7 linked regions of the Coturnix japonica genome follow. The protein of the gene in region 3 interacts with the protein of the main gene of each other region in a pairwise test. Links are inferred from orthologs where the notes say so. Each region holds a gene or a part of one and is shown on either strand. Other genes may lie near its edges. The genes, in order: DPYSL3, NEFM, TNIK, SRGAP3, GSE1, WWC1 and GOLGA4.

Region 1 (4,158 bases), on a different chromosome or scaffold from region 3:
GGACACACAGTGTTCATGACTATTTATATGTAGTGAGCCCTTTGTTCTCCTGGCCCTTTGGACCTGAATAATTGGTCAAAAATATAAGGTCCTAAAAATTGTTCTGCTTAGGTGGGGAAAAAAGGGGCAGAGTTGGTTATTGTGGTACATATTCAGAAACAAATGCAGGCTGCTTCCCAGGGCACAAAAGGAAGGAAACAATTCCAAGTCATTTCCCTTCCCTTAGCTTCAGGCCTCTGTTAGCCAGCACCCACAATGTGCCTCTCCTACTATCACCACGGGGTCATTGTTCTCTGTGATGGGGTCAGGCTCCATGGACACTTTTCCTATGTGAGAACCACCAATCCTTGGAGGAATGCAGACAATTGTACTGCTTTCTTTCTTTCTCATAATCAACAGCATCTCATAACACAAACAGGGGGAGCAGGAAATGACTTGGAAGGATGTTAAGCCCAGGTATGTTGTACAAATGTTCTATAACAAAAATAAGTACTTGGAAAAATAATTTGAAGTCAGTACTCTGGTTTTGCTGCTATGTGATGAATTTGACAGGCTCAATTAAACACCAACTTGCATAGTTAAAGCTCAGCTCTGCCTCTCTGTCTTTCAAGACTCCCGTGCTTTTGCAATGAAGTTGCAATGGAAATCTCAGAACTTAGCCAGAACGTGCAGCTCGTGTTTCTGGCTGTGTTTGCACGACAGTTTTTGCAGCAGATTCTGCTTGCGTGTATCTGTAAGGTGTGACTGACAACGTGCTCCTGTAGCGACCGCACATGTGAGCACGATGCCACACTGCCCTGTACCTGTGACAGCCGCCTGCAGGCAGCGCCCGCTTTGCCATGAAGTCAAAAGCTCACCAACGTGCCATCTTCGTCAGTCGCGTGCTCACACTGGAGCTTATTCCTTGAGAGTGAGCCCCAGTGAGCACTGCCAGCAAAGCCAGCAGCGGGATGGGCTGAGTTTCCACCCTGGATACCCGGTTCCATCGCTGGAGATGCGCCCGCGGGCGGACGTAGCGCCGCAATGCGCTTCAACGCCCCGACCCGGCCCGGGGACGAGGCGGCGACGGGACCGGAGGGTCGGGACGAAGTGCCGCGCGGCGCGGTCGCACGCGCCCCGTCATCCGCTCCGCGGCTTCAGCTCAGCGCCTTCAGCCCGGCAAACGCTCTCCAGGAAACGAGCCCCGACGGCCCCGCTCTGCCGCTCCCGACCCCGCGGGCGGCGACGACACCTCCGGCCCCGATCTGCCGGCAGCCGGCCCGCCCAGTCGAGCGGCCCCCGCGCCTGCCCCTGGGGCCGCCCCGCTCCCGCCCGCACCCCGCCCCGCCGGGAAGCCCCCGCCCCAGCCCCGGCCCCTTCCCCGGCGGCGCGGCGGTCGGGCATGGCGGCGGGCGGGCGGCGCGGCAGCGATGAGCTGCCGGTGTACCTGGCGCGGCCGGGCACGGCGGCCGTACCCCGGCAGAAGCGCGGCGGCCTCTTCTGCAGCGTCGAGGGCGCCTTCGAGAGTAAAACCCTGGACTTCGGCGCGCTGCGCGTGGGGCAGCGCCGTGCCACGCCGACCGCCGCTCGCCCCGAACCGGACCCCGCCGCCGTCCCGGACACTGACCCCGGGGAGGTCCGCGCCGCCGCGGACAAGGAGCGGCTGCAGAACGTGTCCCCCGACGACGAGAAGGTACGGGCCGGTCGGTGGGAGCTTGTCCCGGCGCGGGGCGGGAGCTCTTCTCGGCGCCCGGCCGGGGCTCGGGCTCGGCTGCGGGGCGGGTCGGGCTCGGGGGAGCGGCAGAAGGCGCCGCTGCCGTTCTCCGTCCTGGCGGCGGTAACTCGCGGCTGTTGCGGCTCGGGCTGTTGTGTGCGTTGTTGCTTCCTCTGCTTTAGCAGGAGGAGGATCTGCAGCTCCTCTCGGTCTTCCTTAAAGGAAGCAGAAAAGTTTTCCTGTTATCTTCCAGCGTGCGGAGCTCCTCTCTGCGAACTGGCATGTCAGTGATTTTTGGAAATACAATCAGAAGATACACACCCCATTACTAAGAAAGCTCTGCGTTAGAGTAGCTGACTCTTTTTATGACAGTTACTCCTTCTGTACTCTTGGACATCCTCTTCTCCCATCCCCAAAAAAGGGATTTTAGAGTTGCTCTTTGGAATAATCTCAGCCCAGCCCTGATCTCACTGTGACACGGAAGCCAGAGACCTCACGCTGACCTGGAAGTGGCACCTCTGAAGGGCAGCGTCGGGCACAGTGTTTCTGAACTCATGCCAAACTCATATGAACAAATAAATTCAGTCTTAACAGCACGAGGTTCTTCAGCCAGATGTTGCTTTTTTGGCTCTGATGCCAATATACATCAATGTGAGTTTGGCAGGAGGGTTTTTAAGTTAATAGTGCTGAGTAAGCGTGTCATCTGGGATTTCACTGAGTCTGGTGCTCACATACAGATGTGATGCACACAAGGCTGCTGGCTGGCCTGCTGCTCAACGAGTACAAGGGTGAACATTTGTAGTAAATAGCAATAATAAGGGCACTGTTTTTCGAGGGAGAACAGGGCTAATCAATAAAGCCCATTTTTAAAACTGGAAGCAAAAATCACTAAACTCAGCAGCAAGAGGGCAGCTTAACCTGAAGAAGTGATGTGATATTGCAGAAACGCCATCTTATGCCCAGAGCACAACCACTGCTAAAGTTCCCTTCTGATCTGGAGCACTGAGCTCAGCTGGGGCCCGGCGGGTGCAGAAGCAGTGCTGTGCAATGACTTGGCCTGTATTGGTGTTCGGGAAAAACATCAAGCTGTTCTCAAGGTCTCCTGTGTTCCAGACGAGCTTATAGCTTGGCAGCTGGATGCTTTGAGGTTTCTTCACTGTACTTTCATTTCTTCGGTCTTAGCTTTCAGGTTTCTTACTGGCATACTGGTTGTTCCTGCTCTTGTGGGAATGAACTTTACCCGGCTCCTATCAGTGCCAGCCTTGTCTGTATGGTTTGATTAACAGTTGCAGAACTGACCACTGAAATAACATTAAACTGACGCTTGTTGAAAAAGAAACAGAGATTTGCAGCAGCGTGTCTGTGGGCTTTTCTCCAAGCTTCTCATTAATTAGCTGTACCAATATTTGGAGCAGTCTCATTCCCTTTTAAGGTCTTGTTTAGACCCTTCTACCAGAATTTTGCAGTTGAGATTTCCCTTCTTCAGCAACTCTTTCTGCTGTTTTCTGCTTCCAGATTTCTTCCTCTGAAGCCTTCCATTTGATAAGCATCAGCAACTGAGCCCTTTTTATCTACACTTCTTGCCTGAGAGGGTGGGAAGCTTCACGTATAAGTGTTCTTGTTGCTGCCTGGCCAGAAAGAATCATATGACTTTTTCCTACAACTTCCAAGTTCAGGAGTGCCCTTGAGAGTAGCATCCCCGATGGGAAGGGCCCCTCTGGCGCACTGACCCCCTGCTATGGCTGGTCATTGTGTCTGTGCAGCCACAAAGAGTTTGCTTGTGTTGAACTCTTTGCAGTTTCAGAGCACACAGAGACTCCTTTGTTGAGATAAACTGAACTTCTTTGAATATTTTCTAGATTAAGAAACAGAGGAAAAGGTGAAGTGATCTACCCTTGACCAAGCAACTGTTTGTTAGGAAAGCTGAGAGTGAAGGACTTATCATGCAGTGGGCAGCAGGTAGATAATTATTCTGTGAACACATAGTTGGAGAAGGAGGGAAGATTTAGGTTGGATGTCAGGGGGAATTTCTTTACTACGAGAATGGTGAGGTGCTGGAACAGCTGCCCAGAGAGGCTGCAGATGCCCCGTCCATCCCTGGAGGTGTGTAAGGCCAGGTTGGATGGGGCCCTGGGCAGCCTGGTCTGGAATTAGATATGGAAGTTGGCAGCTCTGCCTGTGGTGGCACGGTTGGAGGCTGGAAGGGATCCTTGAGGTCCCTTCCAACCCAACCGTTCTATGACACCAACACAACATCTCTTTTTTAATGGCATTAATTATAATTAAAGCACCACTATTTCTGCAGGAAGACACTGAAATGTGTAACTGCCCTGTGCTGACATAAAACCCATCAGTGCAGCACAGTACCCGGAAGATGTTTCAGCCTCACTTTACTTCATTGCAAAATCTACTGGAAAGTCAAAAACTGAGCTGTGGCTTCAGGCACAGTGAAGTCATTCCACTGT
Region 2 (3,934 bases), on a different chromosome or scaffold from region 3:
GCCCATGTAGCTGATCCATCCACGAGGAGTTCAAAGTCTGGCTGTTAGCTACTGCAAGTCACCGTATGCAGCCCACAGAAAGTCTACTGCACCGTGTAAACATCATTCTTAGCAATGTTTCAAAGTAGGAGAAGTCATTTCTAAGCAATGCACCAAGCGTTATGTGGAAAGGTAAGGTGGGGGGAGGAATAAAGGGGATGAAAGCGAGATAAAGAACCAAGATCCAGGACTGCAGGGAGCTTTCCAGCACTACCCAACCTGCAACCCCTACCCCATAGGGAGGTAAAGCGCTTGCAGTGCTGCAAATCCGCCCGCAGCCCACGCAGTCTCCCTTCCCCGGATACTTTTATGACCTTCAAATGTCAACCACTGCCTGAGGAAGGGGAACTGGGGCGGGGGGAGTTGGTGGGGGGAAATGAGGAGGGGGCTGCCCATGGGACCCTCTATTCACCCCTACCCCCGCCCGGGGCCAACGACGGAGCCCCGGGGGAGCTGTCCGTGGTGCTGAACCCCCGGGGGAGCTGTCCGTGGTTCTGAACCCCCGATCCCGGCCCCGGCCCTACCCTGCGGGCTCCGGCACCGCGCTGCGCTCCGCCATGGCCACTGCGGGGGAGGAGAAAGAACAGAAGGAAAGGGAAAGGAAAGGAAAAAAGGGAAGGAAAGAAGGAAAGGAAAAGGGAAAGGGAAAGAGGAAAGAGGAAAGAGGAAAGAGGAAAGAGGAAAGAGGAAAGAGGAAAGAGGAAAGAAAGTGAAGATCTAAAGGAAGGTGAGGGGAGAAGGGGGCTGAAGCATGAGTGAAGGAACACGGAGAAGGGAAGAAGGGAGAAAGAGGAAGAGAGAAGAGGATGGGAAAAGGAGGATAAGGATAGGGAAAGGAGAAAGAGGATATGGAATAGGGAATGGGAAACAGCGGGTAGGGGGGAAGGGGGTAAAGAGGGTGCAGGGGGAAGGGGGAGCGGGGGTCGGGGAGCCGGGAGCTGGGAGCGGGGGCCGGGAAGGGATGGGATGAGGGAGGCGCGGAAGGGAGGGCGGAACTGAGGGGCGGAGCTGAGGCAGGGTCGGGGGCGGATACATCCTCACACACGTGTGTGGGGCCGCCCCGGAGCCGCCCGGCGGGGCTATAAAAGGGGCAGCGGCATCCAGAGCTGCGCTGCGCTTCCGTCCGCCACCCCCCGAGTGCCCCCACCATGAGCTACACCATGGAGCCCTTGGGCAACCCCTCGTACCGCAGGGTGATGACCGAGACCCGAGCCACGTACAGCCGGGCCAGCGCGTCCCCGTCCAGCGGATTCCGCTCTCAGTCGTGGTCTCGGGGCTCCGGCAGCACCGTATCCTCGTCCTACAAACGTACCAACCTCGGGGCTCCGCGGACCGCTTACGGCTCCACCGTGCTGAGCTCCGCAGAGAGCCTCGACGTGAGTCAGTCCTCGCTGTTGAACGGGGCGGCCGAGCTGAAGCTGAGCCGCTCCAATGAAAAAGAGCAGCTGCAAGGGCTGAACGACCGTTTCGCGGGGTACATCGAAAAAGTGCATTACCTGGAGCAGCAGAACAAGGAAATCGAAGCGGAACTGGCGGCGCTGCGGCAGAAACACGCCGGGAGGGCTCAGCTGGGGGATGCCTACGAGCAGGAGCTGCGGGAGCTGCGCGGGGCCCTGGAGCAGGTGAGCCACGAGAAGGCACAGATCCAGCTGGATTCGGAGCACATCGAGGAGGACATCCAGAGGCTGCGGGAGCGTTTCGAGGATGAGGCTCGGCTGCGAGATGAAACGGAGGCCACCATCCGCGCCCTGCGTAAGGAGATGGAGGAGGCCTCGCTGATGCGGGCGGAGCTGGATAAGAAGGTGCAGTCGCTGCAGGACGAGGTGGCCTTTCTGCGGGGCAACCACGAGGAGGAGGTGGCCGAGCTGCTGGCTCAGCTTCAGGCGTCCCACGCTACGGTGGAGAGGAAGGACTACCTGAAGACGGACCTGACCACGGCGCTGAAGGAGATCCGCGCTCAGCTGGAGTGTCAGTCCGACCACAACATGCACCAGGCCGAGGAATGGTTCAAGTGCCGCTACGCCAAGCTGACGGAGGCGGCCGAGCAGAACAAGGAAGCCATTCGCTCCGCTAAAGAGGAGATCGCCGAGTACCGGAGGCAGCTGCAGTCCAAGAGCATCGAGCTGGAGTCGGTGCGTGGCACCAAGGAGTCGCTGGAGCGGCAGCTGAGCGACATCGAGGAACGTCACAACAACGATCTCACCACTTATCAGGTCCTGCGGGGAGTGGGGTGCGGGCTGGGGGCTGCGGGATGCGGGTGGGGGGAAAGCCGGGGGTGCGGTCCCAACCCGCTGCTGCCGCCCAGTGGGTGGGAAGGACTTTAGGAAAGTCTCGCCGCAACTTTTCTTTCCCCCTTTTCCCTTTCTTTATGTCTTTGTCGTGATGGTTTGTTCTGTCTCGGCTGCAGGACACGATCCATCAGCTGGAAAATGAGCTCAGAGGAACGAAGTGGGAGATGGCGCGTCATTTGAGGGAGTACCAGGATCTCCTCAATGTCAAGATGGCCCTGGATATCGAAATTGCTGCATACAGGTAACAGGGGGATCGTTGTGGGCATGTCTGGAATATTAATAGCACTGCAGAGGCTGCTCTGAGATGCTTTACCACCAGCGAGAAGTATCTGTATGCGTTGAACACGAGCCAAATTAGAGCTTGACTGAAGTACTGCAGCCCTTTCACAATGCACAGACTCAAAAGTGTCTGCAGCCAGGAGGACAATGCAGAACTCCCTATATGCACACTGCACCTCAGTGCTGCACCCTGCGCCTGTTTTGCAGTAGATGAGTTTATTTTTAATTCCTGTTTACTTTGCATATGCCTTGCAAGCGGTGCTTGTCACTTTTCTCACTTGGGAGAGATGCTGTGCTTTGCTTGATCATGGTTTAAGCAGGCAGCGCTAACCTGCTTGTCACAAACACTTTTGCTTTTCTTGCTCAACTTTCCTTTGTCACGCACTCTGATCTGGAGCAGGAAAGCTGTGTGCTATTGCCATCACCTGGCAGGCTTTTGGTCTCTCTGCATCACTTCAGAGACCTCATCAGAACTGCTGATTTTTCTGGGTCAGAGGCTTAGATGAAAAATATACATTTGAATATGAAAACAGTCAAAAGAGAAAGCTGCTTTCAGATCTCTGTGAACTTGAGGCTGTTGAGGCAAGCATAGGCATTATAGGCTCTGCAGCTCTTTGCTGCCTGATGTGACTTGTATTGCTCTGCAGCCCCATTGTATGGCTAAAAGCAGAGAGGTGGGGGTGCCTACAATGAGCTTGGGTGTATGCTTGGCTGGCTTTGAAAGTCTCAGCAATGATGTTCCATTTGGGTCCATTCCATTCTCAGTTCACCTGAGTCATGATGCGTCCTATGGAGTTAATCACTTTCTTTGATGCAAAGGATGAATTTCAACTGCTCAGCTAAAGGTGATATGCTTGCTACATGCAAAGCAAGCCAAAAGGTGCTTGTTCAGTAAGAATTTACTGAAAGAGCTGATTAGAGAGAAGCAGATCTTGGGCTGTGAGCGATGGATAGTGCTGGTCTTCTCTAGCATATTCTACATGCGCTGACCTCATCCTGCTGACAGAGAGAAACATTGTCCCGTAGGTTGGGTTTCTAATGCTCACTATTTTTCCTTCCTGATTCTCTTAGGAAGCTGCTGGAGGGTGAGGAGACAAGATTCAGTGCCTTCTCTGGAAGCATCACTGGACCCATATTCACACACAGACAACCATCGGTCACAATAGCCTCCACTAAAATACAGAAAACCAAAATCGAGCCACCAAAGCTGAAGGTCCAGCACAAATTTGTAGAAGAAATCATCGAAGAGACAAAAGTAGAGGATGAGAAGTCTGAAATGGAAGATGCCCTTGCATCTATCGCAGAAGAAATGGCAGCAAAGGCTC
Region 3 (3,500 bases):
CTGGACCAAAAGGACCCATCTTATTGCGCATGATGAATTTTATGATCCTGTAATTCTATTTAAACAGAAGGTCGTTGTTTTTTTTCCTAGGGCAAGGAGAAATTGATTTGTTTTGGGCTCGGTCCGGGCTCAAGAACCTTCTTTGCTGGAGGGCAATGCTGTTTTGCAGTGCTGTGCGTGTACCCGTAAGCAGCTCCCAATGTCTCTGCAGCTCATGCAAAATCTGCAGGGTCAATCCCCTGCTGCGGAGCCACAGCAGTGAGCCTGGCCAGAGGTGCTGAGCACAGCACCAAAGCACAGCACCACAGCACAGCTCCACTGACTGACAAAGAGGACCAGTGTCAGCCCAGTCCTGCAGGGACCAGCTCTGGGATGGCCTCTTTGATGTGCTGAAAGCGAGGAGCAGTAGTGTTACCTTTGGTGGAATGTCTTCCTCCTGCCGTAACCAAGAACTTCGGTCAAACTTTTCAATGCGAGGGGGCAGAGGAGGGTTTTCTGAGGTGGGGTCCGAGTTCTGCCTTGGCATCTCAGTGCGGTGAGAGGTCACCGTCAGAGCCTCCTGAAACCCAGCCATCCCCTTTGCAGGCTGTTCATGCAGTGACTGAGACCCAGACAAGGAGCTTCCTTGGGATTTCACAGTGACCAGATGTGGAATCTAAGCACCAAGTCAAAACACAACTATCAGTACAAAATGGGAAGGGAAAAAAAAAAAAGCGGATCAAAAAGAGAAAAATCAAAAACGTGATTTTTAGGAAAAAAAAATAAAAAAATCAATTAGCACATTGGATGCACTAAAAAAGCCCCCTTGGTTTGAGATCAGCACTGCCTTGGTTTCAGGAACTTCTGACTTACATCACTTCAATGCAAGAACTGTTAAAAATCATGCTCAGCACTTGGAGATGGGGAAATGCTGCAGTCAGAGCCACGTCTCAGCTCTGCACAGGCACTGGGATGCAGCATTAACTCACAGCAGCACTGAAGGAGCGCAGGCAGGGTGCCCTGGGCAGCTCACACACATGCCATGCACGCCTTGGGCTGTGCCCACCATACGCTCTATGTCAAGCTCCTACATCTGGTAACTCTAGGGTTGTGCTGATGATGTTTGGCATGGAATTTCCTCATTAAGAATAATAATTAAGAGAAACGACAGTAAATAATAATTACAAAAAAATAAGTTAAAAAAACAAAAAAGCGTCAGGAATTCCGAGGCATAGATGGCTTAAAAATGAATCTTGAGGCATGAGTTTCTATAAGGCTACAAATCCCATCCCTTAGATCAGGTCTACAGATCTAAGGCTTATGAGTGAATGAAAGGAACGCTGACATCTGGTTTGGAAAATCAGAAACACTCACAGCATTTGAGTTTATGAGCTTCTTCTCAGAACCCTGCGATATCTACCACGACCTTTTCCTTGCTACAGCAGATCTGTAATTGGTATTTTGGGGGAAGCATGGCAATTCTACATACATTTATTTATGCATGGATATGCATGCATGTGTGCAGACACACGTATTTACATGGATCTCTGAGTTTCAAGCAGCTTTTTCATTGGTGCTTCATTGTCAAGCAAAAGCCTTTATAGCTGTTGACAATATTGATCATGAGAAGAATCACTGAAAAATATTTCCAGACTTGAAATCAGGAAATGTTTGGTTAATCAGAGACATCACTGAGAAGTCTGCAAAGTGGAGTTTTACCCACTTCCCAATGTCTATGATGCATACAGAATGCATATGCACTGGAGAAGAAAGAGCTTTCCACTTAAGGGCTTTCCAGCATGCGTTTTGTTTGAAATCACTGCAGTATTGCTGACCTATGGGGGCACATACTCCATGTGGATGGCCCTTTATTTCCACATTTTCCCATAGAAAGCCCAACTGAACGTGGAGGAAAGGCTCTGTTCTCCGTGAAATGCCTGTTCAAGTCTGCACACCCACAGGAGCACTTCCAGTGGCCAACCCAGCGCTGATGCTCCACCAACTTGCTCCAGAAGCCTAGTAACAAACCTTGCAACTAGGGTAACTTAAAAGCACAGTTCTCCTCTTCTGCAATGGTAATGGTGATTGATCTATGCCTTCTCCAGATGTGTTTGTGACTGATGTTAACTCAATGGAAAAAAAGAAACAAAACCCCCAAATTGAAGTGAGAAAGAAAGTAAAACCTCCTTCTGATGATGCCCAGCATCAAAGTGCCCTGGGTTATTGTACCAAGCACTGTGGTTTCAGTCCTTTAATAAAACAGATTTAAAGAGGAAGAGAGAGACTGCTGCACTGGACCAGACCAGCAGTTCCTCTCAGTCCTCCAGCTTGTTTCTGGCAGTAACCAGGACCTGATGCTTCAAAGGAAGGTATTAACCAGCGTGATGTTTCTAACGCATGAAGGTGACAAAGATCAACTCATGAATGCAGATGCTGCTTGCTCTACCTCACAAATATGCTTCAGGCTAAGACATAACAGAGCAAGATGCTACTTTAACACTACTTTTCCTTTTACCTTATCGGCACCCCCGGCATCCTGGGTGCTGTATGGACACCAGTTAGGGGAAGCACCATTACCTGCGGGTCCACGGGTCTGAGCAGGGGTGGGGTCCGCGCTGGCTGCACGCTGCTAATACTAAAGGACTCTGAGCGAGGAGGCAGGTTGGGGTCTGAAATCCTGTTGGCCACCTTGTGTGGCATCGCCGGCGAGCTCTGACGGTTGAGTCGGGAGCGCTCCTCCACCTGCAGGAGGAGGGGGTGAAACTGACTGGTTATTTGATGAATTTCTTGGTTTATATGAAAATCTCATCTTTGATTTGAAGAAATGGTTGTTCAGGGTACTGGGTTTTAATATGGACACAGAGAGAGGTCCCTGTGGTCCTGCTACATTGACCCGAAGCTGAACACAGCTCAGCTCCCACAGGCTGCTGGTGCAGGCAATCAAATACCATCAAGAAACCTGAAAGGAACCTCCAGCTTCTACAAAGGTAAGGAAGACCCAGAAAGAGCCATTTTTAACTGAAAGCCAAGGTATGCAAATCTACAGGAAACTCTTTAGTCTTTAGATATATCTGGGTATTGTATGACTAGGGGACTCCTGATACCCAGCAGACTGTGCAAAAAGTGTGTTTCAAAGACTCCAAAATGACTATTTGTATTTCATGCGCATAATTCATTTCTGAGCGTGAAATGGAAAATTAATGCTCCAGGATGATGCAGCACGCCTCAAATATGTATTTCTAGAAGATGACTTCTGAGAAGCTCTTGCTTCTTAAATGTACCTGTGAGCCAGGGGACCCTACTCCTTCACTACTATGAGCCCCACAAGGAATTCTTTTGTTTGATCTGAATAAAAGAATAAACATGGCAGCCAGAAAATGGCTGGCTTTGATCTGAATTTACTGAGTCTGGCACCTTGTCATGTATGGAAGGAAAAGAACACTCCATTACTGATACAGAAATAAAAACAAAGCCCAGCTCTCTCAGCTAATCTTGATGGAAACATAATATCTTCAGGTAGC
Region 4 (4,130 bases), on a different chromosome or scaffold from region 3:
TACAACACCCCTGTGCAGGAAGAGAATTCTCCAGTTAAATCCTACTTACACCAGTCACACCTCCCACACAAATGGTGCACCTACCAATTCTTAGGACACGGCAGTGCCCTGTGCACAGGAGCTCAGCCCCACACCCATCACACACCATCCCCTGTCACCATTAACAATGGCCCCAGCAGGAGGGCTGCCAGCACAACTTTCCTAAGCAACATATTGTTCTTTGTTGTTGCGCTGTCACGCTTTGCCAGCCTACCTGTCAAACTTCTCTACAACACTCATACAACCCCGTGTTCCAGTACTGCGAGATGGCTGCTGCTTTCCAAGTCCCCTGTGTGCTGGCAGCCCCCTGGCCAGCACTCGGCCATCTCTGATGTGACACCTTCAGAGGCAGCCCACTGCAGAGTGCGTCCATCTTCCAACCCCTGAAGTGAAGCAGCAGATTCCTGGGGTAGCGATGCAGCCTGAGCCAAGGGCAGCGGGCACTGGGAGGCAGGATCTGTGTCAACATCACTACCCTCAAGGGCTTGGGTGACAATAAGACCCCCCGTGCCAGCTGTGTGACACCAATGCAGCCGCCCCAAGGGCTCCTCTGGCTCCTGCATCCCCCTGGCCTTAGATGTGGGGAAACCTGCATTGCCCGCTGCTGAGACACAAGAGCAGAGTGGATGCCCTCAGTCAGAAAATGGCCATTTTTGGAGACGTAACTGGGCACACAATAGCACCAAACAATGATTACAGTCCCACCAGCACTCTGCCTGTGTTACCGCTGCCCAGAAATCAGCCCGAGACGTGATCACCATGCTGCAATAAACCATCTTTATACATAACCCTGGCATTCATGATCCAACATATGGAGCCCATGAGGCTACAACAGATGTCAGGCCAAGAGTGATCGCAGCAAATGAATATTCCAGTTACAAACACAGTAAAATAAAATTAAAAAACACAAAAAAACCCACCGCAGACGTCTGCAGCAGAACTTCATGGAGCAGAGCAGCCCCAAGCCAGCTGTGACCCAGCTCTGCACTGCCCAGCCCTGCAGTGCCCCAGCACCGCCCGCAGCTGTGGACACACGGATCCCCCCTGCAGGACTGAACAGCACCACGGGCTGAGAGAACACTTCGTCTGCCTCACAGCAGGGTGCCATAACATCAGTGTGCCCAAATTACACACAAGAAAGGTAATTGGCACTGAGCAGAGTGTGTTGTGACTGTTACATCACTCTTCAAAGCCAGCTACAAAAGACTGAAATGCAAGAAAATAAACAATGGCACCGTGTCAGCAGGCAGCCCCTCCCCAGGGCCTGGCAGCGCTGCACCACGCAGGGTACCAGGGTACGCACACAGCACCCGGTGCCTGCAGAGCTCAAGGTCCAACCACAGTGACCTCCAGGGAAAGTAAGGAAGTGAGGCTCTCGTGGTCACAGGTTCGTTCTCAGAAAGCTCGTGCTGTGTTTTTAATTAGCTCTGCCTTAAGCACAGACTTGCACAACACAAAATGGTGCCCGTAAGGACGACCACCCGAAGGCTGCGGGAGCTCCGTGTGCCAGCAGCAGCAGGGGGCAGCGCGGGGGGCATCGCAATGACTGGGCAGGGTGTGGGAAGGGACCACCGATAGCTGGAGTCACAGACTGACACTGCAACCGACGCACTCACAAACTGAAGTTATCCATGGATGGACACCAGTTAACACTTGGCTACTGCCATTAAATGCCCTGTTTCTATGGCACAGAGGAGGCCCCGCACTCTGCCAGCTGCACACATGCAACAATGCAATGCTTCCACCACACTGCAGGCATCTGCGATGCTTCGGGGAGCACCGACCTCCACACAACAAGCCCAGCTTGAATGAAAGGTGGAGCTGATACGTGGTGCTCAGCGGTCCCAGCAGACGTTACCTCGGATGGTGCTGTACTCTAACACCACGAATACAGCGCTGCGCTTTGACGCCTTGGTTCTGCAGAGCCGGGCTTGCATAACGACCATGTCCCCTGGCAGCGCTGCCTGCCGCACGCCGAGGTGCCTTACGTAAGACCCGCAAGATCAGGGCCTCCCTGACCAGATCGATCCGAGCCTTTCCCAGAGAAACACGGAGGAACCCACACAGGAACGACTCAGATTTCCGCACGGAGCTCCGCTCCCCGCCCGCGGCCCCCGCCCGGCTCCGTACCCGCCCGCACTCCCGCACTGCCGCCCTGCGCCGGGCACCTGCCGAGCTGCGCCCGGAGCTCCGCCGCGCCCCGACGTAGCCCGCAGCCACCGGCGCTGACCGAGGGCGCCTCAGCCGCGACAGCGGGGATCGCGGACGGCGCGGCCCCACCGGCGGCCCCGCAGCTCAGCTCAGCTCAGCTCAGTTCAGCTCAGTTCAGCTCAGCTCAGTTCAGTTCAGTTCAGCTCAGTTCAGTTCAGCTCAGTTCAGTTCAGTTCAGTTCAGCTCAGCTCAGCTCAGCTCAGTTCAGCTCAGCTCAGCCCGCCCGGCGCTGCCCCCGGCCCCGCGCCCACCCCGCACCGCCCGCGGCTCCGGCCCCGCACACAAAGGCGCGGCCCCGCCGCAGCGCCCGCCGCTCACCCTTCACTTGCGCATCGTACTCCGAGATGATCTCTTTGTCCTTCTTCGACTTGCCCTGCGAGGACATCTTTCGGGAGGCTGCGGGCGGGCGCTCGGCCGCGCCGCCTCACCCAGCCACGGGCCGCATCGGCGGGGCCGGGACACCGCGCAGCGCCGCCGGCCGCGGAGCCGAACCCAGCCTAGTACGGCACGGCACAGCACGGCACGGCACGGCTCGGCCCGGCCCGGCCCGGCCCCGCTCGGCCCCGCCCGCGCTGCGGCCCCGCCCCGCTGCTCCGTGCGGCGCTGGGCGGGCCGTGCCGTGCCGCTCCCGCGCTCAGGTTGCGGGCCGCGCCCTCCGCCGGCGGACGGAGCGACACACCGAGCCGGGCAGCGGGCGGGGCGGGGCGGAGGCGGTGCGCGGCCCCGGGGTGCTGCCGGGCTGTCGCGGCTCTGGAGGCCGCGGCTGTGCCGTCGGGAGCTGCTGCTGCTGGGTCTGCACCTCCGTGCGATGCTTTGGGTACCGCAGGAGCAGCAGCGGAGCGGGACGGCCCCAGGCAGGCGGGCAGGCCGCGAGACAGCGTGCAGGAAGTAACAGAGGTGTTGGGAGGTTTGCGTGGCCCCGAGGGTCGAACCAAACGTGGCAGCGCCCAGCACAGCACAGCACAGCACAGCGCAGCATAACACAGCACAGCACAGCATAACACAGCACAGCACAGCGCAGCATAACACAGCACAGCACAGCACAGCATAACACAGCACAGCACAGCACAGCATAACACAGCACAGCACAGTGCATCTCCCAGCCCCAGGAGCAAAGCTGCCCGTGTCCTCACAGCAAGGTGCCCGGACGGGGCCCTGGCCAAGCAGAGCCGCTCTCTGCAGTTGAGGTGCCCGTGGCACAGGGACACAGCAGATCCCGGAGTGGCCCACGCTGCTCCCTGTGCTCTGCCTGCACTCCCAGCCCATCGCATCAGGCCTCCAGTCATCTTCCTGGTCCCAGCTGAGCTCACGCTGCTGCTCCGCACAATGAATCCTTTTGTTGCTGTCCCTGTGAAGCCCAATGAATGCAAGGGGATTTGGTGATACAGCCATTCTGCCAGCTTACAAAGAATAAACCAAGCCTGCTAAACAAATAATTTACCTAGCCTTGGCCTGCAACACAGAGGAGCACTCCGAGCTTCAAGCAGCCATAAGAAGAGCCAAAGAGCAGCCAGAGGCAGCGGCACTGCTGCAGAAGAGCCGTGCTTGGAGTGGGGCTGGTGGGAGGATGCCAAGGAGAGCTGGGAGGTGTGAAGGAATTCTCCAGGAAATCTCTGGCAACAGTGAATTTGGGAAGTGAAGCAAAGATCTGTGGTATAAAATAATGCCACATAATTTCCCAAATCAAGGTTAAGTGATGTAGTAATTCCATACCTTTAAAGTACAGAGTTTGCAACTCGATATTCAATGTGCAGCAAAGACTGCCATGATTGGGGCCTTGGAAAACAACTTTTACCCAAACAATCTGCAATACAAAGGTGAAAGAAAAACAAAACAAAACAGAAAGTAAACGTAATTCTATAATAGTCAGGGTCTTCTGC
Region 5 (3,151 bases), on a different chromosome or scaffold from region 3:
GTGAGGAAGCGTTTCTTCTCCTCGAAGTTGGGGCTGTTGTTCATCTCGTCGGGGCTGTAGCGGGTGGAGAGGGGGAGGCGTGGGGATGGCGTGCGGCGCTTGTTCTGCACCGTGGGTGGAGAGGGGCTGCGCTCCCGCAGCATCCGCCGGCGTTTGCGCCGCTTCTGGCTCAGTAATTCCTCCTTCTGCTGCTGCGTGGTGAGGCCGAAGAGCTGCAGGAACTCCAGCTTCTGGGGCGTGAGGGGAGAGCAGAGCTGGGTCAGCCCCACAGCAGCACAGCACCTGTTCCCATCCCTGTTCCCATCCCCATCCCATGTCCATTTCCATTCCTATCTCCATCCCCATCTCCACCTTCAACCTCAGCTCTATCTCCATCCCGTCACCATCCTCAACCCCATTGCCATTGCCATTTCCATCCCCAGTCCCACTTCAGCCCCACATCCAGCCGAGTGCTGTGCCCATTTACCTCAGAGGATGTGTCCAGCTTCAGCGGGGGCTGCTCGGCCACACAGCGGAGATGTGCCCGCACCTCCTCCTCGTCGCTGTCATCACAGGAGTCATCCAGGTCGTAGTAATAACCTGGGGATGGGGAGAAGCTGATATCAGCCAAGGGGGGCCATGCTGGGACCCCCCCATATATACTGCTGGGACCCTGGGAAGCTGCTGGGACCCCAGGAATGGTTGGGATTCTGCTGGGTGGGGATGCTCACCACAGCATCCCAGCTCAGCTCTGTTTTGGGATGGCTTTGCAGGGGGACTGGAAGAATTATGGCTCTGTGGGCTGCTTGTAGTGGGAGGGCTGACTCTTCCCTTTGCTGCTGGGGCACCAGGGAGGGACACAGCCCAGGAGCACCTTGTGCCAAGGACACTGGGGACACCACTGCCTGCCTTGATGGGGAGCACCGGGCTCAGCAGGTTAATGGGGCACAAGGGGGGATGGCAGTGCTGCCCCCACACCTCGCTCCATCTCCTCCTCGCTGCTGTTCACATCCCCGCTCGCACGGCCCTATTAATATTTAAAGCCAGCTTATTAGCCTCAGTTCATCATTTATTAATTGGGCATGTCTAGAGCGGAGGATTTACCAAGCCGCTCTGATTTGGCTTTCGGGAGCACTTGCATCGAATGCCTGCGGGTTGAGCTGATGGCATCACTGGGGAGCCCCCTCCTGGCCTCCCCCATTGGGGTCCTGGTGGGGGGTCCCAAACCCCCTCCTCACCTTTCTCCCGGGCCTCCCGTCGTCGTCGCTCCTCCAGGTCCAGTTTGCTGACCAGCCTGCGGTGCTGCTGCACAAACTCGTCGTAGATGTACATGGGGTCCTGCGTGCGGGGCTGGGGGGGTCTGTAGGGCGAGCTGGGCTTGGTCACCTCCCCAAAAGGGGTGGCTGGGGGTCTCTGCTGGCTCAGGATGCTTTGCGTGGATTTCTCCAGCTCGGCCAGGAATGGTGTGTGGGTGAAGCCTGTGTGCTCTGCAGTGCTGGGTTCCCGTGGCACGGGGTATTTGTCCAGCGCATCCCTTTTCCTTGAGCTGTCTTCCAGCTTCTCGGGGCAGAAGACTCTCTCCACCTTCACCAGCGGGATGCCCTGCCGGCTGGGCTCGAAGGGGGCCGGGTGGCCGTGGAGGATGTGAGGCTCAGGGAGGCGCCGGGGGGGCTCCGAGGGGCTGTCCATCAGGGAGACGGGGTTCCAGAGGGATGTGGCAATGGGGTGGTGCTGGGGTTTGGGGGAGATGAGTGGTGGTGGACCACCAAAGTGCTGCCCCGGCTCGCGGATGCTCGGCTCGTGGCGGCTTGGTCCCGACCTGCAGGAAGGAGAGGAGAGGAGAGGGATGGAGAGGAGAAGCAAATCCTCTCTGCAAGCTGGATCTATGGAGAAATGATCTGTTGGATGCACGTGGTGGAGGGGGGAGGGTTGGGAACGGGATACAGGGCAGGGGACCCCTCTGTGGGACCGGGATGGCACAGGCTCTCACTGCACACAGAGTGACACTACAGTGAAACCTTCCCTAAACACCCAGGGAAGGAGCAAACCTGTTAGCAGGATAAATATTTCATGCTCCGGAGAGGAGCGTTTAACGCTTTTCCACTCGAGCGCTCCAGACCTCTGTGCAGCAGAGCAGGGAGGGCTCAGTGCTGCCAGTCGGGTCACAGCTGCCATCGCTCTATGGAGAGCTCCTGCAGGCACCAGCACTGCGGGCTGAGGGCATCACCTGCCCCAGTGGAGAGCAGGGTCCCTGTCCCCATCCCTCCCCACCATCTGGGGGTCTCTGGCAGCACTTACAAGGGGCTGGGCAGGATGCTGAGTAAGGGACTGGGATAGGAGTAGGAATGAGATGAGGATGGGATGAAGATGGAGATGGGATAGGAGGGAGATGAGGCTGTAAGAACACCCCCCCACACACTCACTGCTGTGCTCAGGGTGACCTTGATGTCTCCTCCCTGCTTTGGGGAGGGATGTGTGGATGGGGGCGGGCGGCTGCAGCAGGCACTTGCCATTGTGCCGCCCCGCAATCCGCTCCTTGTTATACTCGATTAGCCGCGCTAATCCCCTTGATATCCAAAAATAACAATGGGAGCCGGCAGCAGAGCCGACTGGATAAGCCCACACCACCAGAGCGCTCAGCAACAGAGCGAGAAAACCCGCGTCAATGCAGAGCTGTGGGCACGGGCTGCCCCCCTCGCCTCATCCTACTGCGCATCCCCTCTATCAGAGAAGCAGCTTTCAGGCTGCACAGGGGAAGCTGCAATTAGCGATGTCGCTGCCTCGGCAGCACCTGGCTGCTCGCCGTTGGCCCCCAGCCACCTCCCGGGCTCACCGCCTGCTGCCGCGCAGATGTCAGGCAGTGGCACCGCACGGCGCTGCCAGCACAGCCGGCCCGGCTGGCACAGCACGGCGGGGACCTGCTGGCACCGGACACACAGCTCGCCTGGTGCAGGGGGGGAAAGCATGAAGGCTGAGCTTGGGGGGAGCTCGTCCTGCTCAGAGCCAGCTCGCAGGGTGGCGAAAATGGCAGCGAGATGGGAAAATCCTATGAAACCAGCAGGAAAATGGGCAGAGGGAGCATGGAAAGGGGCATCCTGCATCCTGGCAGAGAGGATAAACCCACTTGGGGTGTGCAGCCCTACCTGGGGTTGTCAGGTCGGTGCTCGGGCTC
Region 6 (3,500 bases), on a different chromosome or scaffold from region 3:
TCTTTTCACTCTCACTGGATTATATATTAAAGGTGGTGAATCTTGTGCCTGATGTCAGAAAGTATTTAAGTAGTCTTGTCATTGAGGGGTTCTTAACATTTGAATAGGGTCCTGTCATCTCTGAAGTAAAGTGTTTGGTCTCCACCGAAGTGCTGGTGTATTAAAGCAATAGGTTATGAACTTGAATTGCATTGGTGTGGTGCTATTTGTAAAAATACAACCAAAGAACTAGGAATGTTTTCCCATGTTTTGTATGGCATAAGCTGATGGCTGCAAGGATCAAAGTAACTCCTTTGCCTATGGCTACTTTTCATGACATTGCACGTTGGGGAGCTTCTGTACTTTCTGAAGCATAAGGGTTTTAACTGCTGCTGAGAAGAGAGTTCTGCTCTTAATGGGGTGCTGATTTAATCCAGTGTGACACATTGGGTGATTGGTTATGTCCTCAAGCCTGTGAGAAGGCTGGCATCACCTTTCGTGTTTTTCACTTTCCTTTGTTTCTGAATATTCAGGGGATTGTTTATACAACCAGAAAGTGAAAAAAAAAAAAAAAAAAAAAAAAATCCTAATGCACTGTTTCCTTCAGTTATGATAAATTCTTTTAGAAATGCGAGAAGTGAGAAGAGAGATTCTAGTAAGCTTGATTCATAGTTTGGGGCTGATAGAAGAGTAGGGGAGGATGATAAAGCTGCTAAATTCAGTGTTTGTTTTGCTCTAGTGCTGTCTGGCTCATCGTCAAGTTCCAAGTACGACCCAGAGATCCTCAAAGCAGAGATTGCTACTACGAAATCCAGGGTAAGAAGTACAAATGGACTTTCACTTGCCACAGGCAAACTTCAGATATTTCCAAGCCTCATGAAAAATATTGAAAGGTGACTCAAAAGCAATTGAAAGAGCTAATTTGCCATTCCTTATCTAGGAGATAAAATATCAGTATTCTCAAATGTTACCGGCTTAGATTGAAACAATTGTTTTCCTAATAGACTTTAGACTTCCTTGTATGCTGATAGTATGTTTTGCTCCATTTAACTGCATGCTCTCTCCTCAGTGCACTGCAACACCAGAGAGCTACAACGAGCTCTCTCCAGAGAATGGCAGCTGTTTTGTCGAGAGCTCAGTGCAGATTGTTAGCAGTGGCAGTGTGTTCTCTCATGCAGAGCTTGGTTTGGAAGAAGAAAGGACTGAAGTAAAGTAGGTCAGTCCGGCCTCTGTGGAGGAATATAAAACAAGCTGTAGGGTCAGTGGATTTACAATATGTTTTATCAGCCTGCTGTGTTACTCGTGCAGTGAGGCCTTTTAATTTGATATCTTGGAGGATGGTTTGTATCATTGCAATGTAACTCCAGTCCTGATACTTAACGTTTTTTAATGTCTGGAAAGGTTTTTAACATCAGTGAGTAAAATCAGCGTGTGTTTCATTCCTGACTTTTGATTTTATTTTATTTTTTCACCACATTTTCTGCTTGTGAGATTAAGCTTCTTGTGAGCCACTGTTTAAATAATGTGGTATCTGGGTGCTGGATAAATCCCTAGACACTGAAAATGTCCTGAAGAAGATGCAGTCAGCTGTTAGTTGCTGATGCAGTGATTATCTGCAAAATGTATCTAGATAATACTGTCTACACACCAAAAAAAAGTATGAATTGAATGGTTACTTCTGTGCCTAAATACTCATGTGAGGTGTTGTTCTTAACTTCCTACAGGTCAATAAACTAAAGAGGGAGGTAGCTCACATGAAGCAAGAAATCCAGTACAAAGAGCATGGATTTCAAACGCTGAAGAAGTAAGTTGGATCTGAAGGTCTTACTCTTGGTTACGTTTCTGGCTTGTAGTACATCCCCTTCTTCGTTTACAAATAGCTGCCTGAAAAACATAAGCTGAAATCTGTTGCTGCTGAGATCTTTAGGCACGTGCAACTCAAATCCATGGGGTTATTTCCTTCAATTCTGTGCCTGTATGTGATTAGCTGGATCAGAACTGAGTTCATGGGGAAATTACTTTTATACCTTTTGATTGTACCTTGGTTCATTCTGTTGCACTCAATTTTTGTCAACTTGCTTACAGTACAGACTATTGTCATAGTAGAAAAAGACAGAAAAAGATAAATAGATAAAATGAAAAGAAATTGGGGTGGGGATAAGCTTCAGGTGCTTATCTCTCTGTGAATAAACGGATGGCATTTTATAAGTAATGTCACTGATATAGTGTCCTGTAGTTTTCTCTCAAGTACCAACTTAAGTAAATAGTCCTTTCAGAAGAGGGCAGGATAAAGTGGTTTGTGATTAGCTTGTGCCTTTAAATATATCAGTGTGAGGTCTATGCTTTAAAATAATATAGTTAGCATACGATTAACTTACCTGCTTTAGAAACAAGGTAATTAATAGCAGTCTGTCTAAACTGTTTTTTTCTGTTGTTTTTTTTTCTCTTGTCTTTTTCCTCCCTAAAGATTCAAAGCAATTACATGGCTAAAATCAGAGTTTTGATGTTTAATGTATTTCTGAGTGAAGTGGCTTAAAAGGAACCAAGAACTCCAATCATCACTGCTTGTCTATGTTATACTTAGTGTGTTTTGTTAAAAATGATTGTCAAGCTGGATATGTCTAGGCTGATTTATGTAATGCACTTCATTTAAAATGTTGGCTTACTGTATGTTTTCTCGAATTTCTACGCAGTATTGACATGAAAATGTCTGATACTCAAGGTGGCTACAAACTTGATGAAGCACAAGCCATTTTAAGTGAAATGAAAGCTCTCAAGAAGGCCATCACATCAGGGGAGAAGGAAAAGCAAGACCTCATTCAGGTACTGAAACAGCTTTCATAGCATTTTGTCCCTGTTAAATTTTTTAAATCTATATAAATTATTTCGGTTTTCAGACATGTCTTTTAATATATCATTATTATATATTATATATAAATTGTATAATGATATATATATATTAATCTAAAGTAGTTCTGTATTGTGACTGGACCTTAATTTTCAGACTTTGGAAGTACAAAAAAGTAACATAACTGACAGTAGTGAGCACTTGGTTAGAGATGTGCTGTTGTCTCAGGGTTTCTTGAACAAGAATGAAGCAGTGTACTTGTCTGTACTGCTGTCAAAGAGCAGATATGCAGAAACCATCAAAACACAGTGGCCCGTTTGGTCTGTTTCCTCCAGCAAACTCCCAGCAGAGAACATGTGGGCATGAGACTGTGTTAATGTTCTCTGTGCTCAGCAGCACAGCAGCCTCATGCTTTAGGAGGTGCGGTTCAGCCTTGCCTGGCTTCACGTTTGCAGGGTCTGACTGTATGCACTGAATAGTCAGATCCTTAAATCACATAGTTTCAGTCAGGATTTATAGCTGCCAAGGTATTTTGAGTGAAAGTGAGCTCATGTGATGAATTTTTATGGTTTCAGAGTTTAGCCAGATTAAAAGACAGCTTTGTGAATGACAGAGGATCACAGTCAGACCTGTGGGCCAGCAATGTGTCCTTAGAAAGCTCAAGCTCTTCGTT
Region 7 (3,500 bases), on a different chromosome or scaffold from region 3:
AATTACATAGAGTGCAATCTCCAGGACAAATACATACTCACACAAATATAAACATCTTTTCATCAAAGCAACTGAAGGAATGCTTCCTACCTGTAAATAATATGTACTAGTCATCCATTACAGTACAGTCTCAAGGGCTGGCTGAAGTTGGAACATAGCCGACAAAGTTTGTTATTGTTGTTAGGGTTTATTATTATTATCATTTTCTTGTGTTTAAGTCCCTTGCAATTCAAAAGTGTAATATCCAATAATATATATTTTTATTTAATGATTTCTAACAGACGCTATTAAGGTAAGAGAGCCATCCAATGAGCCACAGGCCTAAGAACAGAAGCTAACTAGTGATTCTGGTGGTTGTTTTTGGATCCAGAATTTGTATTTTTAATAAAATGGGAGTTAAATAGTGAAATAAGAAAAGGGATAAAAAGAAAGAGGAATCTTCTAAGGACAAGAAGTCCTGTGTAGACCAAGATTTATTCCATAAGGAGCACAGTTAACACAGAACCCTGCATAAAACCTTTTTACTTAGCAACTGTCCAAGTTGAAAGCAGTACAACAAAGAATGGAAGAACCCCAGGGAAGAAAAAAAAACCCTATATTCATCCACATCCACACAGCATTTGTCATCCAAGAAAAATGTTTGTGTTACGACATACCTCCTTTGAAGCTGGTCTTAGCATCAGTATTGTTACAAGCTAGTAAAATTCCAACATAGGAATGATTTCACAAGCTTGTCAGCATACAACAAGGAGCCTACTGTGCAGCTTTTCTCTGCTTTTAATAGTAGGTTAATACTAACTAGTGAAGGTACACAGATTTGGGAGTCTTATAAAAGATCTTTAAGGAACAATTTGAAAAAAAAAAACAAACAACCCTTCATCTTCAGAGCTTGTAACAGGGTAATACAACTGTAACTTAATCATATTTGCAACAAGATAACATCACAAAAGTAGTTTGCTAATACAGTGCATATCAGCTTTCAAAGTCCAGTAAGCCTGACTGACATTAAGTCTTCTGCTGGTAAAATAACACCTACCTGGAGGGCTATTTGTTTCTGTAAGTGCCTTGGTGAGAGATGTGACACACACTCCCCCTCCCTGGTGTTCTCTCCTTTCACTCCCCCTGTGTTTTATCTCAGCGTTCCAGAGAAGCTGGTAAAGATACATGTCTCTTTCTAAGAAAGCCCTGAAAGTCCATTGAGTCTTTTTACACAGACAGAAAATGCATGATGAATTGCCATCATCATGGCACTTAAGATCAATACAGCAAGGAACGTAACTTCATTCTAACCCACATCACATCACTGTATACAACTTTCCATACCTTTGTCTCACGACCCATCATATATTCAAAAAGCACTTTCCTCAAGTATTCAAACTCAGTGGGCTCTCCGAAGAGAGAAACGTCAGTATGATGAAGATTTCCATCTGTGTAAACAAAAATAAGTATATTTATACTAAGAGTAACTCATAAGAATGTAAGTTATTCATAGTCAGAAAGTCACTGAAACAAAATGTAATCAAGTATGAAACATGGGCGTAACAACCATAATTATGCCAGATGCCTAAAACCTACTCAGAGCAATTTCCTGAAGCATAAAACATAATGGATCAGCACAATTAAAAATCCTCAACAACGTACTACTCATGAAGTTTCGTTTTTAGCTTTAGCTGTCTTACAGACTAGGTGTAAGGCTGGAGATACATACATGGAAACAAAAAAAAAGGAGTACAAAGTTAAGAAAAAAAAAGGCATTGGTGAATATGCTAGGAAGTTGTATACCAAACTATGACTACCTTCATCAAGTTCTGCAAAGACAGCAGTGAAGAATAACTTTTCTGAGGAATATTTATAGAGAATAAACTAATAGTTTAGCTTTATTCTCACCAAGATGGAAGATAGAAAGATTCACAATTTAACATAAACCCAGCATCACAGGCCAATGGCAAATTAAATTAGGTGTTGGACTAATTTGGATACAAGTCTTCAGGGAAAGTGGAATTTTGATAGAGAAGAAATGGTCCGCAGAGAGGTTAAAGATAATAATAAAGTGATTTGCTTAAAGTAACTCCTCAAGACAACTTTTTAAAGGAGTGCTCTTAATAAATATGGATACAGGAAGAAAAGTAACAGCACGGTAATCAAGGTGTCAGAGCAGATCTTGGAAAGGGCATTTAGTTATAAGAATAGCAAAAGTCCAAACATGCAACACAAGAAAGCTTTGTGAAATCTAATGATTGCATATTTAAGATTTTTTAAAGAGTCAAAAATTGTATTCAGTTAAGCTAGGGTATAATTCCCCTCCAGCAAATTTTCACTGAAACTGCCTCTATCAATTCCCCAGAGATAACAGATTGCTGATACAGAGCTGTTTCACTTGTAAGATAAATGTTTCAAAAAAACCCCAGATATATTAATGGATTCTCTAAACAAAAGCATATCTTTCAAATAAACAAACTTGTGTGATGAAAATTACATGCATACCTCTGTATGGTGTTCCAACTGATGTGACATACATTTTCTTTTCATAATTTTTTAGTCTGTCTTCCAGTACATGAATCTAGACAGAGATGAGTCATGATCAGAACTGTTGAAGTTAAAAGTAAGCATAAGAAGTTCCAGCTAAACATCCTGAAATTCTAGTAGAGCAATTTGCCCTCAAATAAGATATTAATAACTGTGCCTAACTAAAGAAAATTGTGTACACGTGCATATAGACACACCAAAATATCTATACACATACATATTCATATACCTATATTCATGTGATATATACATATATATACATACATATACATATATTAAAACACAGATATAACATTATTTACTTATTTTACCTAAAACCAGAAAATCTAGTTTAGAAAAAGTGGGAAAACATAATTTCAAAAAGGACATTTGTAAATTTTCATTCTGCAGATGTTTTTGATAACCTGCACCACTTATATTTGGTATTTTCATACCCTGGGGACCGAGAAGTATTTTGACAATGTGCATAGATGTATGAGCCAAAACTATTTTACATGTATTAGTATTATACTTGCTGTATAGAGCTGTGCTACATCATCAGTTGAAAGGAACCAATAGTTTCAACTGCAAGTACAAATAATCAGATGATGTTTTTTCCTTTGTTCAAACAGTGCCCTTACCTGCTCCCTGAACTCCTGCTCTTTCAACTTTGAATCGTTGACTAGCGTTGTCTTCTGTGCAAGCTGTGCCTGAAAGAACAGCCACATACAGAAAATTTCAAAAAACTCCTGAACATACCACTTTAATAAGCTTTTAAGCTTTACTTTTTTTTTTTAACTTTCAATTCACACGAACTTATAAGCAGTGCTGCTAGCTTCAAAGTGATGTGACATAGCATTACATAGAAAACGAACATTAAAAAAATAAATAAATCAAAACTTACCTGAAGTTCAGCTATTGCTACCTAAAAGAAAAAAAAAAAAAAAAAAAAGGATGAAAACGTAGGTATGAAAAAAGAAAATACTAAATATCTC

Evidence for each region.
Region 1: the proteins of TNIK (region 3) and DPYSL3 interact in a two-hybrid assay, tested with the Homo sapiens proteins (2 studies listed by BioGRID and IntAct). The link is inferred for Coturnix japonica from reciprocal best matches to the Homo sapiens genes TNIK and DPYSL3.
Region 2: the proteins of TNIK (region 3) and NEFM interact in a two-hybrid assay, tested with the Homo sapiens proteins (2 studies listed by BioGRID and IntAct). The link is inferred for Coturnix japonica from reciprocal best matches to the Homo sapiens genes TNIK and NEFM.
Region 4: the proteins of TNIK (region 3) and SRGAP3 interact in a two-hybrid assay, tested with the Homo sapiens proteins (2 studies listed by BioGRID and IntAct). The link is inferred for Coturnix japonica from reciprocal best matches to the Homo sapiens genes TNIK and SRGAP3.
Region 5: the proteins of TNIK (region 3) and GSE1 interact in a two-hybrid assay, tested with the Homo sapiens proteins (2 studies listed by BioGRID and IntAct). The link is inferred for Coturnix japonica from reciprocal best matches to the Homo sapiens genes TNIK and GSE1.
Region 6: the proteins of TNIK (region 3) and WWC1 interact in a two-hybrid assay, tested with the Homo sapiens proteins (2 studies listed by BioGRID and IntAct). The link is inferred for Coturnix japonica from reciprocal best matches to the Homo sapiens genes TNIK and WWC1.
Region 7: the proteins of TNIK (region 3) and GOLGA4 interact in a two-hybrid assay, tested with the Homo sapiens proteins (2 studies listed by BioGRID and IntAct). The link is inferred for Coturnix japonica from reciprocal best matches to the Homo sapiens genes TNIK and GOLGA4.

What each region holds. Positions count from the first base shown.
Region 1 is NC_029528.1:247,325-251,482, forward strand, and holds the start of DPYSL3 (dihydropyrimidinase-related protein 3), read left to right. Parts: upstream 1-1,358; 5' UTR 1,359-1,381; coding exon 1,382-1,672; intron 1,673-4,158.
Region 2 is NC_029537.1:2,110,435-2,114,368, reverse strand, and holds the start of NEFM (neurofilament medium polypeptide), read left to right. Parts: upstream 1-1,134; 5' UTR 1,135-1,187; coding exon 1,188-2,252; intron 2,253-2,446; coding exon 2,447-2,571; intron 2,572-3,680; coding exon 3,681-3,934. UniProt on the Homo sapiens protein: Neurofilaments usually contain three intermediate filament proteins: NEFL, NEFM, and NEFH which are involved in the maintenance of neuronal caliber.
Region 3 is NC_029524.1:17,398,789-17,402,288, reverse strand, and holds part of TNIK (TRAF2 and NCK-interacting protein kinase), read right to left. Parts: intron 2,722-3,500; coding exon 2,557-2,721; intron 656-2,556; coding exon 416-655; intron 1-415. UniProt on the Homo sapiens protein: Serine/threonine kinase that acts as an essential activator of the Wnt signaling pathway. Recruited to promoters of Wnt target genes and required to activate their expression. May act by phosphorylating TCF4/TCF7L2.
Region 4 is NC_029527.1:16,731,003-16,735,132, forward strand, and holds the start of SRGAP3 (SLIT-ROBO Rho GTPase-activating protein 3), read right to left. Parts: upstream 2,801-4,130; 5' UTR 2,636-2,800; coding exon 2,569-2,635; intron 1-2,568. UniProt on the Homo sapiens protein: GTPase-activating protein for RAC1 and perhaps Cdc42, but not for RhoA small GTPase. May attenuate RAC1 signaling in neurons.
Region 5 is NC_029526.1:15,702,065-15,705,215, forward strand, and holds part of GSE1 (genetic suppressor element 1), read right to left. Parts: coding exon 3,123-3,151; intron 1,799-3,122; coding exon 1,218-1,798; intron 580-1,217; coding exon 467-579; intron 231-466; coding exon 1-230.
Region 6 is NC_029528.1:7,316,148-7,319,647, reverse strand, and holds part of WWC1 (protein KIBRA), read left to right. Parts: intron 1-718; coding exon 719-795; intron 796-1,703; coding exon 1,704-1,783; intron 1,784-2,672; coding exon 2,673-2,802; intron 2,803-3,402; coding exon 3,403-3,500. UniProt on the Homo sapiens protein: Regulator of the Hippo signaling pathway, also known as the Salvador-Warts-Hippo (SWH) pathway.
Region 7 is NC_029517.1:77,612,169-77,615,668, reverse strand, and holds part of GOLGA4 (golgin subfamily A member 4), read right to left. Parts: intron 3,431-3,500; coding exon 3,410-3,430; intron 3,216-3,409; coding exon 3,147-3,215; intron 2,561-3,146; coding exon 2,485-2,560; intron 1,428-2,484; coding exon 1,324-1,427; intron 1-1,323. UniProt on the Homo sapiens protein: Involved in vesicular trafficking at the Golgi apparatus level. May play a role in delivery of transport vesicles containing GPI-linked proteins from the trans-Golgi network through its interaction with MACF1. Involved in endosome-to-Golgi trafficking.